Oryzias latipes: one gene and its partners. The protein of the gene in region 1 interacts with the protein of each later gene in a pairwise test. Links are inferred from orthologs where the notes say so. Each region holds a gene or a part of one and is shown in the gene's direction. Other genes may lie near its edges.

Region 1 (5,148 bases):
CTCTCTTCCCATTTTGATAATCTGTCCCGTTACGCAACTCAAGAGTGTCAAAGATCAAACCCCCGCTAAAGTCTTCATCAGCCAGGGGCTGATATGTGCTGATTTCTTCTCCTTCCCTGAGTCCGAGCAGCAGAAACCTGCTTTCCTCTCTTCTGTGTGAAATCTCTGCTGGTGTGGAGCATCAAACCACTCTGTGCTGTACTTTCCCAAACTCCTGCGCTTTAGAACGGGACTGTTGTCCCAGACTCCTGCGCTGTAGAACGGGACTGTTGTCCCAAACTCATGCGCTGTAGAACGGGACTGTTGTCCCAGACTCCTGCGCTTTAGAACGGGACTGTTGTCCCAAACTCCTGCGCTGTAAAACGGGACTGTTGTCCCAGACTCCTGCGCTTTAGAACGGGACTGTTGTCCCAGACTCCTGCGCTTTAGAACGGGACTGTTTGCCCAAACTCCTGCGCTGTAGAACGGGACTGTTGTCCCAAACTCCTGCGCTGTAAAACGGGACTGTTGTCCCAGACTCCTGCGCTGTAAAACGGGACTGTTGTCCCAGACTCCTGCGCTTTAGAACGGGACTGTTGTCCCAAACTCCTGCGCTGTAAAACGGGACTGTTGTCCCAGACTCCTGCGCTTTAGAACGGGACTGTTGTCCCAAACTCCTGCGCTGTAAAACGGGACTGTTGTCCCAAACTCCTGCGCTGTAGAACGGGACTGTTGTCCCAGACTCCTGCGCTGTCGTCGGCTTTTGCCTGCTTTGTAGCTGCCTCCCTTTCAGCTGCATTCTTCGCAAGTCCAGAGCAGAGGAATGTCGTTGAACAATGTTTGGAATCACAAACGTGTCACGTTCTATAAGAATGCTGCTCCAACTGGAGTCAAATCTGTGATGTGAAGCAGCAGGCGGAGGACTTAAATCTGCTCCCGTCTCACCTTCAGGGTACGTTCCCCAACACGGGGGCTCGCGTGATGCTCTTTGTTGGCGGGCCGCCCACCCAGGGTCCGGGCATGGTGGTGGGGGACGAGCTGAAGATTCCCATCCGCTCCTGGCACGACATCCAGAAAGACAACGCACGACACTTAAAGAAAGCCACAAAGGTGACAAAAGCTCAAGAGCTTTTCTTCTTTTTGGGGAAAACGAGTCCCTTCGTCTCCTGACGTTTCTTGATGCTCCACAGTTCTACGAGGCTCTGGGCAACAGGTCGGCGGCCAACGGCCACTCCATCGACATCTACGCCTGCGCTCTGGATCAGACCGGACTGTTGGAGATGAAGTGTTTGTCCAATCTCACCGGGTACGTCCACTCTCACCGTCTGCCAGCGTCCAACCTTCTACCCTGAGCGGGGGCAATAAAGCTTGTGTCTCTTTTAGCGGCCACATCGTCATGGGAGACTCCTTCAACACCTCGCTCTTCACACAAACCTTCCAGGGAGTCTTCAGTAAGGACCACAACGGAGACTTCCGCATGGCCTTTGGTGGCGTTCTGGAGATCAAGGTAAAGAGGTCGCTTGCTCGCCGTCGTTTCCTGGCAGAATGTTTCCCGTCCGTCAGAGGAGCTGACGCCAGCTGTCTCTTTACAGACATCCAGAGAACTGAAGGTTTGCGGCGCCATCGGACCCTGCGTTTCCCTCAACTCAAAGGGACCCTATGTTTCAGAGAATGTGAGCCCCTCCCACGTTACACTGTGGACCCCTCCCTCACCCTGAGCTGTCACTCATCAGTGTTTGTTTTCTGTAGGAGATGGGCATTGGGGGAACAAACCAGTGGAAGATGTGCAGCCTCACCCCCTCCTCTACTTTGGGCATTTACCTTGAAGTTGTGAATCAGGTAAACGTCTCTTTGATCATGAAGCTCATTTCAGGATGAGAGCTGAACTGATCTGGATTCTCTGCACTAAAAGGCAGGAATGAGGTCAAACTGGGTTTTTCTGTTTTGTCTTTTGTAGCACAACGCTCCCATCCCCCAGGGGGGCAGAGGGGCCATCCAGTTTGTCACGCAGTATCAGCATTCCAACACTCAGAAGAGGATACGGGTCACCACCATCACCAGGAAGTAAGAATCTTTTAAATTCCTAATCATTTTCAGGTGATTTCAAACTGGGTCAACGTCGACACACCTGTATCGACACAGGCACACCTGTATTCATTCCTGCCTCTTTCTGCCCCCCTCCCTAAGCTGGGCCGATGCGCAGTCTCAGATTCAGCACATTGAGTCCTCGTTTGACCAAGAGGCGGCCGCCGTGCTCATGGCTCGCCTGGGGGTCTTCAGGGCGGAGTCAGAAGAGGGCCCCGATGTGCTTCGCTGGCTGGACAGGCAGCTGATTCGCCTGGTGAGTAATTCTGCTCAAGAATGAGGATGCATATCTGTCATAGCTGAGGCTTTGAAGCAGCGGCCCCGCCTTCATGCTGGTATTTGATGTTATTGTGATTGGAATGCTGGGTATTCAAGCAACGTTTCATCCCTCAGTGTCAGAAGTTTGGGCAGTACAACAAAGAAGATCCCACATCGTTTAGGCTTTCCGAGTCCCTGTCTCTGTACCCACAGGTAAGTCCGCCCTCTAGTGGCCACTGGTGGTAAACAGGCTCACACTGGGTCTGGTTGGTTTTTCCATTACCAGCGTTTACGTTTGTTGTCCCTCCCCCTGCAGTTCATGTTCCACCTGCGGAGGTCGCCCTTCCTGCAGGTGTTCAACAACAGCCCCGATGAGTCGTCCTACTACAGGCATCACTTCACCAGGCAGGACCTAACCCAGTCCCTCATCATGATTCAGCCCATCCTGTACTCGTACTCCTTCCACGGACCACCAGAGGTCAGCCTCGCTCCCCCCACCCATCCGTAAGTCTCCCACCGGGGCTTCTGTTCCAGTCCTGACCCTGTGACCCTGTCTTCTCACAGCCCGTGCTCCTGGACAGCAGCAGCATCTTGCCGGACCGCATCCTGCTGATGGACACATTCTTTCAGCTGGTCATCTACAACGGAGAGGTGGGACCTTGTCCTTCAGCTTCCATTTTGCTCAAACTAGCACAGCGTTAGACTTACAGCGTGTGTGTTTTGTTTTACAGACTATTGCACAGTGGCAGAAGGCGGGCTACCAGGAAATGCCCGAGTACCAGAACTTCAAGCAGCTCCTCAAGGCTCCACAGGACGATGCCAACGATATCCTGGAGACACGCTTCCCCATGCCGCGTTACATCAACACTGAGCACGGCGGCTCGCAGGCACGCTTCCTGCTCTCCAAAGTCAACCCATCACAGACGCACAACAACCTCTACGCGTGGGGACAGGTGCGCGCTCACGGCACACACATCTGTTTGTCTAAGGCTTTACACTTCGTCAGAGGGGGCGGGGCTTCCGGGTGTCTTTGGATCCTGAACATATTTGAAACAGAGCCAGAAATGAAAGCCGATGGCAGAAGTCGATGGTAAAGCTCGCAGGTGACTCAATTAAAGCTGAGATGACTGGAGAAGTTAAAAACAAACAAAAAGGAGGACAAAACAAAAAACCTCAGAGGTCAATTCGAAAAAAGACGGTCAAGAGATGAGCCTAAAAGCGCATGGAGACCATTTAATGTTGTTTTTAAAATTGATGTTCAAAAGCCACATCTGAGGAAAAAGGCTTTTGGGAATTATTTATTGTAAATGGGATATCTTTGGAAAAAACAGACTTGAGTGTGACAGTGAAGGTTTAGCTTCCTCGTTGAATTCAAACGGATGCGTCAAACGTCTGCCGAGGCCCAAGCATTCACGGATCCTGTCTGGGCTTGGTCAACCAAAAGTCTGGAAGATGTTAGGAATCCTCTGGATGCCTGTGGGGGTTGTGGGATTTCTGCTCCCTTCCTGCCGTGGATCGTGGTGTTTGCTTTGGAGTTGACGTGTTTTCCTCTCTTCCTGCAGGAGTCGGGGGCTCCCATCCTGACCGACGACGTCAGCTTGCAGGTCTTTATGGACCACCTGAAGAAGCTGGCAGTTTCCAGCTCGGCGTAAACACAAGAGGAACGCCACATTCCCGTTCAGCTTTCAGGATCCATCGACATTTCCCTGATTTTTGTGAACGAGCCAGACTCACACAGTCGTCTGTTTGTACTAAATCGATTCTCACTTTGTTCTATTGTGGCCTGTGGGGTCCATAACAAGGTTCCTGTAAAGAAATACATTTTCATAGAGGAAAACATATTTATGTGAGTGTATGAAGCTAACAAAGGTGTCTCTGAAAGTCTGGAGCGACCAGACTGATGTTTGTCTTAAATGAGTGTCTGCTGAGTATGTTTGCTTTGTCCATAGCTGAAAATGATATGTAGAATGTTTTTGAACAAATAAATTATGATTGCATCTCGAATGCTCCCTCAATCTAATGATTACTCCTTCATTTGACGGACATTAAAGTTCCTTCAAGGACCATACTTCCAGTGTTTTCCAGGAAGATTCCAGCTTACCAAGGATCATGTCTGCAGGCAATCAGCTGAGAGCTGAGGCTGCTTGTCTTCCGTTTGGGTTCATTTTCTGCTCGATGACCATCTGCTGTTTTGCCCTCGGTGATCTTTGTTGTCTTTGTAATCAAAGGAGGCTGAAGAAGGGACCAGTTTTTCCATGAAGCGCGTACAGAGAGCTGCTAACATAGAGCAAGCAGTCTATGCTTTGAGGCCGAGATTCCTCCTAAAAATCCACTTGTTTTGTAAAAGCAGCAGATGGAGAGCAGCTTCTCTGTCCTTTTGACCGCAACAGAAACTGCTGTGAGGAAGAGATTGCAACATTTTGTCACAACACTGCATGAAGGCAACAATATCCCCAAACAATGGCGATGTTTCCTTGGCTTTGGTTGCAGATGTAAAGCCCACATGACACACAATCAAAACAGGCGGCGGCAGGCATCACTGTAAGCTGATTCCAGAGCAGACAGTATGATTTCGAGGATCAGTGAGTGACAGATTATGAAGACTAATCCTTCAGGGCTACGTGTTAAAAGGCAAATTCTACTCTTATCAGCTTTAAGCAGAACTTGCAGCAGAAATAGAAATGAGGTCTACGGCGACGATGAAGAGCTTAGGCCTCACTGTGCCGCGCTCTGAAGCCACATATGCTCCAGGAGAAACTCACAAGATGCAGCATGACAACTTTGGAGGTTTTTTTTTACACGCATCATGTGCACAATACCAAAAAG
Region 2 (5,751 bases), on another chromosome or scaffold:
CCCGTCAAGAATTCCTCGGCCGCCCAGTGCTCCAGCTCCAACGGAGGTGCGCTGCTGCTTAGTCGGGACTGTGTGTCCAAAGCTTCCCCTCTGGAGGACGAAAAGGCTGCAGGAAGCGCACCATCAACTCCTCAAAATGCCAGCGACTCAGCACAGCCTCAGATATATCCGTGGATGAGAAAACTCCACATCAGCCACGGTAAACGTTTTCATTGAATAACAAGCTGGTTTTTGTTAAATAGCAGGTCATTACTGAGTCATTTAGGAAGCGTTGCATCGTATAGCAAGGCAAAATGAAATATATTTGCATGGCATGATGGTTTGCAAATCCAAAATTATGGTTTTCACGTGAAAAGCAAATGGCGCCAAAATGCACCATCTCACCTGTTTGATAGTTTGGATTCACTTTTGTCCAAGTACGAGACAATTTATATTTACACCATGCAACGCTAAATGTAACCTTAAATGATTAAATCAATCTCTAAAAATGCTTAATATGTTCTCCACTTTTTTAATTAGCTAGCCAAATCTCAGGATTTAAATGTTAGTTATTTTTTGCTCGTGAACTTTCCTTTTTTTATTTTTAACTTTTGTTTATGATTTTATTGAGGAAATATTTTCATTTTCACTTAATCATATTTATAATAAAATGAATTTGTATAAGTTCAAGCAGCAGAAATTGTTTTTGTTTATTGTAAAAGTCTTTGGTGATTGAAATGTTTTCCTCCCTTTTTCACGCATCAAGATATCTCCGGACCTGAAGGCAAAAGGGCCAGAACCGCGTACACCCGGTACCAGACCCTGGAACTGGAGAAAGAGTTCCACTTTAACCGGTATCTGACCCGCAGACGGAGGATCGAGATCGCGCACGCCCTCTGCCTCTCAGAGAGACAGATCAAAATCTGGTTTCAGAACCGCAGGATGAAGTGGAAGAAGGACAACAAACTGAAAAGCATGAGCATGGCGGCTGCAGGCGGGGGAGCCTACAGGCCGTGATCTCCCTCCAGATAATGAAGAGCACGTACAAAAAATAAATGCAAAAAAAAAAAAAATTAAAAACAGAAATTGCCATATCAACCCTTCTTTCACTTTTGAGGAAAAAAAAGACTTGTTGACTGTGCAGCCGGGGCAGGGGGCACCCCAACTTCTCCATGTCCAGAAAAAGTCTCCATTATATTCCTAAATATAATTTTCTTTAACCCTTCATCGAGTTAATGCTTATGTGGATTCTGTACAGTATTGTCTAGTTTTAGGGGAAAAAAAGAATACGTGGAAATACATGTTTTTTTTAAATTATTGTTTTTGTCCAGGCTGGAAAATAAAAGAAAAAGCGATGAAAGTGGTGCAAACTATTGCAGATATTTCTGTGACAAAGCAAGCTCGCCAGAAGGTTTGCGTTCAGCCTGGATTTCTCTGTATTTACTGTAAAAATGTGTGTATTTATTGGTTTGATGTATTGTACAAAAATCAGCTTCCAGATGTAGAACCAGCATAAAAAAGCCTTTGTGTGGTAGTCGCTGTGAGCACATGTGTGGGCAGAGGTGCATGCCGCCTCACCCTTGTGTGTACAGTAGCTGTGCCTTGTTTTTCTTTGTTTTCCCAGCAGCTTTGTGTTTGAGGTGTTCACCTGGGCGCAGCATCTTAGTAAAGAAACGTGCTTTTGTCTCGCTGTTTTCTGTGTGGACGGTCCCACGGTAAATCCCTGTGCCTGTGTGTAAAACTTCATCGTGCCAAGCTTTTTTGGAAATGTTATTATTTTTGTTCCCTCTTAAAGACTGGAAGTCAAAATATGCTATAAGAATAAAGATGGTCTTGGTAAAAATGGCTGTGATGGCCGCGATAATAAAGTTTTTACTGGAATGAAAACTTCATTGTGAGTTTTTGTAAAGTTTTGTTGTTGTTTTGGTGTTTCAAAAATTTCTAATTTCTTAAGTTAAATCAACAGGTTTCACTTGGAATCATGCTTTGACTCACCTTGCCCTGTGTGCGTGTAAGGCTTCGAGGGCCGTGCGTCCCCAAGCAGACTCGTGTCCTATGTTCTCGAAGAATCAGCTCGACTTTTCTGGCTGTAAACTTTATTAAGGGGTTGATTCTGGCTCCCTGACATTTAGGTGCTAAATGAATGGGGGTTTTGTCTATGAATTAGATCGTAAAAATCATCCGGAGACCGGCCAGATAGGCTCACTGGCCATAAACGGTCACGTGGTAGCCATTAAAGTAAGTTTTATGGTTTTGGGGAGTTGACAGTATATTGCACATAACATATAATCGCACGGAAGGCGAAGCTTCGTCTGAGTCTCCCTTTGCACGCTGGAAGCGATACTTGACCGGTTCAGAGCTTTTTTTCGTGGCGCAAGCTGCGCCAGCGTGGACCGGACGCTTTGTAGGATGGGGAGCGCGTCCCTGGGTGAGTTTCTGCAGATTGGTCGGTAGCCTGGGAACAGCTATCCCGTGTTAAACAGTCGTATTATTGTACTCGCTCCATCTATCCGTCCCTATTAGTCTATTATACTAATTTGTCAGTTGTGGAGTGCTGCATACTGGTCTGGGCAGATGTTGCACAGGGTTGGGTTCGGCTCGTGGCTATTTAATTGCTTCCTTCCCTGCGTAACTGGCTCTCTTCCATCTGTGGTGTAACTCATAATCCATTTTTACATGTTGGATAATTATCTCTGTGTCCATTTCCACCCCCGCAAACTTGTCGTTTTATTACATTGGAGAGTTCACAGAGCATGAGGCAAAAAGTTGCTTGGAGTGTGGGAGAAGATGCGCGTTGCCACAGGCCTGCAGATCTGCAGACCGCAAGAAGGGATTGTTTAGTGATTGTCAGCGACTTTTCAGGCGCGGATAAAGTTGGCAGTAGCTTTGTCGCGCGCTGCACATGTTGGCTGTGAGTTGGCTGTGGGTGAAAGGCTGTGGATTTCGGGGTTGGCTGTAAACAGTGTCGAGTAAACACAACACGGATGAAACAGCAGAAGGGAAATGTTTGAAAGGAATTCCCTTTTGTGTCGAGCCAGTCTTATTGTGTTTGAGGTTGAAAAGTTCAAATGACATCTCAAAAACTCACTCTCGCTTTGTGGTGACCTCTTGTCCGCGCGGCCAGGGGCAAAGCCGGCCACCAGCGGACATAGGTAACAAAAGCGCGAGTGGACAAAGGCATAAGTTGTGCAAAAATATTTGTCCAGAAACGTTTGTAATATCTCTTAGCATATTTGCTAGCGTTACACCAGGAGACGTTTTGTCTATGCGCATCCTTTTTCAACCCAAATGCGCACAAAAAGGTTTAAAAAAAACTGAACATTTCTTTAACGTTATATTTTGGAATAGTAAAAGGATAACCAAATCGGAAAAACTTTTTGAATGTAATGGCTTTATTTTGACGAGGGATTTCTCCTTTTTTAAATACATTTTTAGAATCAAAATTAACGGAAAAAAACACCCACCACCAAAGTTATCTGTTAAAATGTTCAAATGGTGGGTGGAAAATGAAAATCTGAGTTGATTCAAGATCCAGATGTGTTTTTTTGTGTATCTTGAAATGGTTTAAATTTATTCTCTAATCAAAAAACTCACTAAATAGCCAAACAGGTTTGAATTTTGAGCATCTTTGCTTTACGATATTTTTCATCAACGATCCTAACAAGCAGAATTCAACCCTTTAGGATGAAGTTTGAGCCCTAATGAAACAGGATGTTCCATGTGTGCAAATAGTTGGAACTGGAACCCTTTTGCCAATATTTCAGAGGGAGACGTTTCGACAGGGCCCCATGTGCCGCGCATTGCCGGCAGATAGAGAAGGGAGGCTGCGCAGGTTCATCGGGAGGTCAGCCGCAGCAGCAAGATAAATCTGCATCCTCTCGGAGCCACCAGCAGAGCTCGCTTTAGGCCAAGTTCACTGTCACTGCAGCAAAAAGGCAATAGTACGCGCACGTGAACAGATAGCAGCGTGCGTCTTCATGTGTATTTTGTGGATTAAAAAAGATGCGCAATAATGAACCCCAGGACATACTAGCACTTTTAGAACAGACAGCGCTACCAGATGAAAAAAAAAACTGTTTTCTCCAACAAACTCTTTTGGTTGCTCCGACTTAAATGAGTGATTTGCATATTTTATGGTTCTGCCGCTCCTGGGTTGGATCCATTTCTCTTTTCTGTGTTTGGAAACCTCACTAAAAGACGATCGCATCTTTTTGCTGGCATCTTATCAAATTTGTGAAAACGATCATTGTCGCACAAAGAGATGTACACGTTGTTAGAATCAACTTTTCTCATGTGGAGGAGAGGTGATGGTGGGGAGGAAGGGGAGGCATGGCAGACATCTCTCCGGGCTGGGGCTGATGAGAGCGAGATAGCAGCAGAAGAGGAGGAAAAATTGGGGTCAAAAGTTTACGCACTGAACAAGTCTCAGTCATCTGTTCACTCAGAGCCTGATGCCAGCTTTATAATAGGGATCTTGACTCTCCACACAAAAGGCAGAATAGCTTTGCATTACATATGTTGCACGGTGCACTCCAGGTGAACCCTGGAAGCGCGATGACCTCGCGTTTGGGACCGGGGGGGGGGCAACAAGATTGAGTGGCTTGCGTTTTATTAGGGAGGTTGATTGGTGAATTTCCTTTGAATAAATTGCATTTGATATGTTTAGGGACCAGGGCAAAATTTGCATTTTGAGGATTGATACTCTCGACCCTGTCAGAGTATTGGGAAGGCCCACAGCCCCCTAAATGAGCCCCCGGATCCCTTAAAAATCGTTTAGCCCCTTTCTTCCTGTTCAGCTCAATAGAAGCCTTTTAAAAAGAGGAATGTCCCAGATGTTTTGGTTATTTTAGAAAAAAATGTCAGAAGATATTTCTGCACAAACATATTTGATTCAGTAATACTATTTTTTTGTCTCATGAGGCCTTTTCCCTTTTGACAAACGAAAATAAATACATTTAAAAAAGTGAACCTTTAAAATTGGCTCTGGAAAAAATAAATATTGTCTTAAAATAAAAATGATAACAAGGGAGATGTTAAATATTGTCTTAAAATAAAAATGATAACAAGGAACATGTTAAATGTCAAACATTTGTAAAAATGAAATATACAAAAATGAAAGTTAAAACTTTTTTTATTACAATGCAAATTAGAATAAAACATAAATGGAAAAAATACAAACATACTGAAATGTTCCACATCACAATAACTATTACATTTTTTAAATCTTTTATTTGGGACAAAAAATGTTTATTTGTTTGTGATCCAGATTTTCCCAGTTTTTAAAAGCCTACAAAGTACAGAATTTACTGATGGGATTAAAATGTAATATTTTACATTTCAATGCACCTTTTTGTGTAAACATTTAACTCTTTGTAATAAGTTTGTAACACATCAAAGGCTGCATTCTGTTGCTTTGTTGGGCCTTAAGTGATAGTAAAATGTTCTGTCACACTTTAGTCATAAAACAAAGTATACTGATTTGGTAATCTATTACTTTATTTTTTATTAACCAAGATTTTTTGTCCTCCTTTGCTTCAAATTCTCTCATTAGTTTGATTGTGTTATTAAGTGTCCAAGCGCCTTAGCACTGTCAAAATCTGCTCTTTAAAGTATTCAATCTGCACAATAAGTCAATTTGGCGCACAGATTCGCATGTTTTGTTTGTAGGGTGCGCATGCAGTGGCAAAAAATCCCTTCCCGAGTGGTTATAAAGCTGTGTGAATCCCCCCCCCCCCCCCCCCGCTCGTTACCGGATATGCTGCTGCTGCTGCT
Region 3 (5,916 bases), on another chromosome or scaffold:
CTAATATTTAACAAGCACAAGCATATATTGTACCCAGAAGGTGCCTGCTCACACATCGTCTGTACAGTTTTAGCAGTGAAAAAGAATACCCACAGACAAGGCACGGGTGGTGGGTCACCAAAGGCTGACCTTACCCCAGCAGAGGACATGGCCTTGGAGCTAAATAAAGGCAGGCCCGTCTTCGAGGGGATCCCTGGGGAGAAAGAGACGAGCATAGGTTCCTCCCAAGATGCCACCCGCTTCATTCAAGGTATGTCCTTCCATCTCTACATGGAATACAACCACATTCATATTGAATCAGTTTGGACTGTCTGACCCCGGTTTACCTATTGCCTTGCAGTGTCTGGCAGCACTGTGTTCCTGTTAGAGCCACCAGCACAAGCACCAGACTATGCTGATCCAGTGAGTACTCCATCAAAGGCAGACTGTAGGCCTGGCATGTCTTGTCTACTAGCTTCAATATCCGACTAAATGTGATAGGGTGAAAGCCCCAGTGCAGCAGCAACAGCACATGATGGAGACGATGAGGAGGAGGAGACCATCACTCTGGATTCCAGAAGGCATGAGGTATCATGTTAAGACTGTGAAAGTACTTTTCACTCTACAATGGTGAGGTGTCCTCATCCAAATCCAAAAGTCTAATTTCTTTTACAGGACCCAGATGCTATATAGTGGGAAAACCAGCCTGGCAACATAGTGCGTATTAATAAAAGGACACCACATCCTGCCAAATTCCAGCTGCGCTAATTGTATTGTGTTCACAGAGCTCAAAAGCTATCAGAAAGATGTATGGCAACCACCTCCGGCGCCAAATAGAACTGGTAGACGTAGACATTCAGTACAGGAATAAATTTGTCCTGCATTTATTTTAGTGTGCAGACATGCAGGGTGTGTTATGTACAGACCTTTGAATGTGTATGTATCATTTTGTATAATATGCTTTGATTCTGTGCTTTCCATCTTGTAGAGTCACTGTGACTTCAGTTTCGAAAGGAGCTGATAGTTTACCTGCTTTGTTTTGTCCTTATTCAATAAAGGAACATAATGGTACACATTGTGTTTTTATATTCATATGGAATGTGTATTTGTTTATATGACAGAGTACTAGGGCCCCACTGAGGAAAAAGGATAAAGTCATCAATTTATGAAACTGTTGCTTTTCTGCAGAAAACAACATATTCTTTTTACAGTTCTGATAGTTATGACAATGTGATACTTCATATTCTGGCACATCAGCATGTCTTCGTTTATGAAACCATACTGAAGGACAATTTCACGAAATGCCCCACATCTGTCATTTTAACAACTGTCCTCCTTTAAAACAACTGGTTACAATATTATGACTTGTCTTTTTTTTCCGCTCTGTGGCCCTAATATTCTATCATTTTATATATAGCCTTATAGTCTATGGGAAACTGTAAATTATCTAATGATAGCAACATCATCTAAAACTCATTATTTATCCAAAATGATTGAAATTAATGATCACGAACGTTTAAATAATGACAGCGGGTCTAGTTATATGTGATAACAATGTATAGTGAGCAGTGAAATAACTATTGGTTTCCATTTGTGGCGACTGCTGACTGACATTAGGGATGTGATTAAATAGATCCTGGAATTTAGCCTGGTCTGGAGCAGGCTAGCTCCACAGAATAAATCTCCATGGTAATTTATACCATAACATATCCTCCTGCCCCCTATCCAGCTTTAGTGCAACCGGATTGGGGATCAATTGAGCCAGGATCACCAAGATATCCTGGCTTAATCCCGTATCCTACTTTTGTGCAACAGGCCCCAGGTCCTTCTGCAGTAAATTGTTTTGGTAATAAACCTGGGGAAAAGCAAATACCACTATCTACAATAACTGTGTTGATAATAAACTAAAAGAAGTTTCATATAAAATATTACATCAAATGTATCCAGTAAAATTAAATGGAGGAGATTATATAAACATAGATGAGTCTGGAGGTTTTTGTCCAGTAGATTATTGTTTTTACAGTTTTTACACCAGAAGACTTTGGTGGGATGTTGAAGACTTAATTATAAAAAAAAAAAAACTGAATGTAAATATAAGAATTCATATTTTTGAGATCATGTTGTATTTTGAATCATATGGTTTGTTCATGAAATTCAATTTTGTTATTTAATTGGTAATTATTTTAGGCAAATTTCACGTTCATGAGTGTAAATGGTCACATTTACTTAAATCATGTTACAAAACAAAAGAACATTTAAAATCTGAAGGTTTCAAGAACATTTTATTTTTAAAGGAACTGCATTTAAATACATATTTATATGGTAAACCTCTGGTTTTTAATGCACTGTCCTTGTGTTTCCTTTTACATGTTGTTCACAATAAAGTTTTGTTAAAAAAAACGGGTTTCTGCGTAGACTGTTGTTTTTTTTGTTGCGTCCACGCATATCGTCTCAGACAGTGTGGCAGACGTGGCACTACGTCATCAGCCCGCGTCGGAGCTAGCTGGTAGGTGACAGCGTTGTTCTTCGTTTCGTCAGGATAATTATATCTGTTCATGATTTCTTTACCAGAGCGGGTTTGTACAATCGGTTCTCGTGAAATGGATCTGCGCAGCGGCCGAACCGGTTCTGGATCTCCCTGTTTCCTAGAACTAGACTGGGACGTCAAAGGACTTAAAACTCTCACTTGTGACATTTTTAAAACTTAATTTATGAGGCTGAGATCAGAGTCTGTTTTCATTGTTAAAGGAAACCAGCGGGTCTGAACTTCTGCGGCAGAACCGGGCCTTAAAGCAGCCGATCTGCGCCTCTTTCACCCTAAAGTAGAGACCTGCACAAACTGTTTTTTGTAGAATTGTACACTTTAATTGTAAAATCAAACAATAAATTTTTGTTAAAAATAATAATGTTTACAAGAAATTTACATTGCACAAAAAGAGAACATTTCTTCTTCTTTATTTGACTTTTTAGACCTGCAAAAACATTTTTTTAACCTTAAAAAGCTTTTTATGACACAAAATCAAATGCCTCTTTCACTTAAAAAAGATTTCTAAATGTATTTATTCATCCTATATAGGAATTATTCTGACACAAAGTAATAAAAAAAATTGTTTAGCCCGCCTGTTAGTTACTGCTTCATTCTTTTCTTTTTTTCAATAAACTTTATTATTCAACACAATTAGAACAATAAGTATGACAGGAACAATAGTCATAACAACAACAATGTCAGGGGGTGGTACATGTATTACAAAAAGATTACAGATGCTATGAATTGAAAATATTCAAAGACAGACAGTTTTCATAAACATGTATGGCCTTTTTGTTTAAACTATTAGAAATAGTATGTAAATAAGATTCTAACTCTTTAATTATTAAAGACGCACTGCCGTGTCGATGGGCTGCTTTTTGTGGAAATTTTTTTAATGTTGAAAAAAACAGCATCAAAGTTCTATCAACTGATTTAATATTTCTATTTTTCCTAAATGACTGTGAGAAGAGCAGGATAATGCTATCAGACATGAACACAGAAGTCAAATTAACGGAAGAAAAAAACGATAATTTGACCCTCCTAATCAATAACTCTGCTGTTTTCTTGATTGTGTTTGTGGGAGGGGCTCCTGTGACGCCTCCATAGCGGGTTTGGGCCGTCGGCTCCACGTCTGTTTTAGAACAGAGATTTTCAGCTGGACTCTCGTCAGCTCGCTGGTAAAGTCCAGCTTCTTCCAGCTGAGGCGATTCACTAGAGAAAAAGCAGTTGATCCGTTACGTCATCACATCCCAGCTGGATTTCGTAACATTTGAGGTCAGCCCCCCTGACACCGCTGCTCGTGTCCTGGTCCAAACGTGGAAGAGGGTCCACACCGGTTCTGGTTCATGTAAAGGCCCGTACACACCGGGACGAATATTCGCCAGGCGTTATTCGCCAGCGTCTTTCAACATGTTTTTTGTGTTCACACCCAGGCGATTTTCGCTGACGATGAGCCGAGCGAACATGCAATTTCATTCCCTGACATTAGATGGCGCTTAATGTAAAACAGAAATACTCCTGTACACAAGGTGGCGCTGCGCAACCTTAGGCTTCTTAAAGTCGCTTTTCACTCAGAAGAAGAGAGCAAGTATTTACGCGCTTGTCAGAATAATACAAAGAAAACATGAATATTTCAAGCACCAGTAGCTCCAACTGGTGCTTGGTTCGGGGATATTTTAGAATGTCCGTCATTATTTCTTGCTGTGTAGACGCTACTCGGCGTCTATCTTCTTCGCTGGCATGTGTGCTCAGCAAGGCAGTTTTGTGTTTGAGCGCCCCCAAGTTGTGTTTTACTGTAACTTCAGAAGCTCCAGGCATGTGTGAAAAAGCGCCATTCTCATTGGTCGAATAGATTTCGACGCAACGCGTCGAAAAAAACAAACAAACCCGAGGCAGGTTTTTTTTTTTGACGCTTTGACGCGTGGCGTTTTTTCGCGTCGGTGTGCACACTCTCATTGGTGCCCTTTGTTTAGTCACGAGGCGTTAAACGTCAGCGAAAATCGTCCCGGTATGAACGGGCCTTTAGAGTTCACTTTAAGGTTCCTTTGTTTTTTAATGTCTCAGTGATCAGCTGACCCCCGTCTGGCGTTTCTGGTCAGCTGATCACTGAGGTCCAGAAGGACGTGTAGGGGGGGCAGAGCCGTTTCTATCTAAATATTAGACAAGCGTTCAATGTCCAGTTATAAAACGTGGGACTCATTTTTATAGCCAAGCATTTGGTCCCACGTGAGATTTTACTGTTATTTTAAATCTCAAGTTTTTATTGTTTTCCATGTTTTCGTTATTTATTACATTTGTTTTAACAGTTTTTATTAAGTTTAGCTGTTAAAGTGCAGTGCTGTGTTCAATATGAAAGAGGATGAAAAATAGATTAAATCTACAGCATAAATATAACGATTGAAAATACGGAAATGACGAAAATTTGGACATTTGTTTTTTTTAGCCCCAACTTTTAAAGAAGATTTTGACAGACGGATGTTTATTTCTTTGTGAGCAAATAGGAAAATGCCAAAGCAAGTTTCTCATGTTGCTAATTACCCCTCCCACATATCACTTAATGAATTATTTAACATCAGTAACTCCAAAGAAATAGAAAATTAGAATTATTTTTAAGTTTTAATTTTTTAGATTATAGAAAATATTGGGCTTGTTTTAAAAATGTTTAATATTCCCAAATTAAATCATGGAAAATAGATATGAATGAAACAGTTTAAGAATTTATTTTAGTAAATCATTAACTGGTGGTAGATTTGGATTCTAACAGCTAAACGGACAGTGGTATACGTTTTTATTCTAACTGCAAAAATACTGAGCTGAGAGGCGTCCGTCTGCCTTGAACACCTTTACCTTTTGCGACCTTTGACCCAGTTTTCCCAAAGTAACCCATTCATGGCTTGTGATCTTTATTTCTAAATGCATCAAAGTCTTTTAGATTTTCCCCAAGTTGTAGGGATGAACAGGGAAAATGTTTGTAGAATAAATGAACCAGTTGATACTTTTACCTTAACATCCCATAATTCCTTTGTTGCAGTGCAGGAATAAAGCTGAGAAAATGATGCAGGAAAGTGGGATTGAGACGAGACCTCTGGAGAACCTGAGTGCTGCCGTCAGCGGAGCCTCAGCCTCCGGTAAGACGTCTGTCTTTCTACTGGACAAACTTTCAAGAACTTCTTTATTGCTTTGTGTGCAGTTACACACTTCTGAACAGTGTCGTTATTTTACACAGTTGTTTTCCTGCACCTTCATTAACAGTTGAGTACAAACATGCAACCTCATTTTTGGTCAAGGTAAAGAATACCATGGATTTAGAGTTTTTCTACCAACAAACGTCTCTTGAATGTCTTTTCAAAAATAAAAAAAGTGACAGATGCCATAAAAGATTCTTTCTTAATGCAAAAGTGGTTTTGTGT

What was found. The genes of interacting proteins can lie anywhere in the genome.
Region 2: the proteins of protein transport protein Sec23A (region 1) and homeobox protein Hox-A3a interact in binary tests that used the Homo sapiens proteins (3 or more experiments, as listed by UniProt). The two-hybrid records come from large-scale screens. The link is inferred for Oryzias latipes from reciprocal best matches to the Homo sapiens genes SEC23B and HOXA3.
Region 3: the proteins of protein transport protein Sec23A (region 1) and prrc1 interact in binary tests that used the Homo sapiens proteins (3 or more experiments, as listed by UniProt). The two-hybrid records come from large-scale screens. The link is inferred for Oryzias latipes from reciprocal best matches to the Homo sapiens genes SEC23B and PRRC1.

What each region holds. Positions count from the first base shown.
Region 1 is NC_019859.2:30,190,218-30,195,365, forward strand, and holds the end of protein transport protein Sec23A, read left to right. Parts: intron 1-930; coding exon 931-1,089; intron 1,090-1,169; coding exon 1,170-1,285; intron 1,286-1,362; coding exon 1,363-1,486; intron 1,487-1,571; coding exon 1,572-1,652; intron 1,653-1,728; coding exon 1,729-1,818; intron 1,819-1,936; coding exon 1,937-2,043; intron 2,044-2,166; coding exon 2,167-2,320; intron 2,321-2,457; coding exon 2,458-2,535; intron 2,536-2,638; coding exon 2,639-2,800; intron 2,801-2,886; coding exon 2,887-2,973; intron 2,974-3,053; coding exon 3,054-3,275; intron 3,276-3,884; coding exon 3,885-3,974; 3' UTR 3,975-4,337; downstream 4,338-5,148. UniProt on the Homo sapiens protein: Component of the coat protein complex II (COPII) which promotes the formation of transport vesicles from the endoplasmic reticulum (ER).
Region 2 is NC_019869.2:11,344,339-11,350,089, reverse strand, and holds the start of homeobox protein Hox-A3a, read left to right. Parts: upstream 1-2,276; 5' UTR 2,277-2,407; intron 2,408-5,751. UniProt on the Homo sapiens protein: Sequence-specific transcription factor which is part of a developmental regulatory system that provides cells with specific positional identities on the anterior-posterior axis.
Region 3 is NC_019882.2:18,551,013-18,556,928, forward strand, and holds the start of prrc1 (protein PRRC1), read left to right. Parts: upstream 1-2,441; 5' UTR 2,442-2,485; intron 2,486-5,537; 5' UTR 5,538-5,558; coding exon 5,559-5,634; intron 5,635-5,916. UniProt on the Homo sapiens protein: May act as a regulator of the protein kinase A (PKA) activity during embryonic development.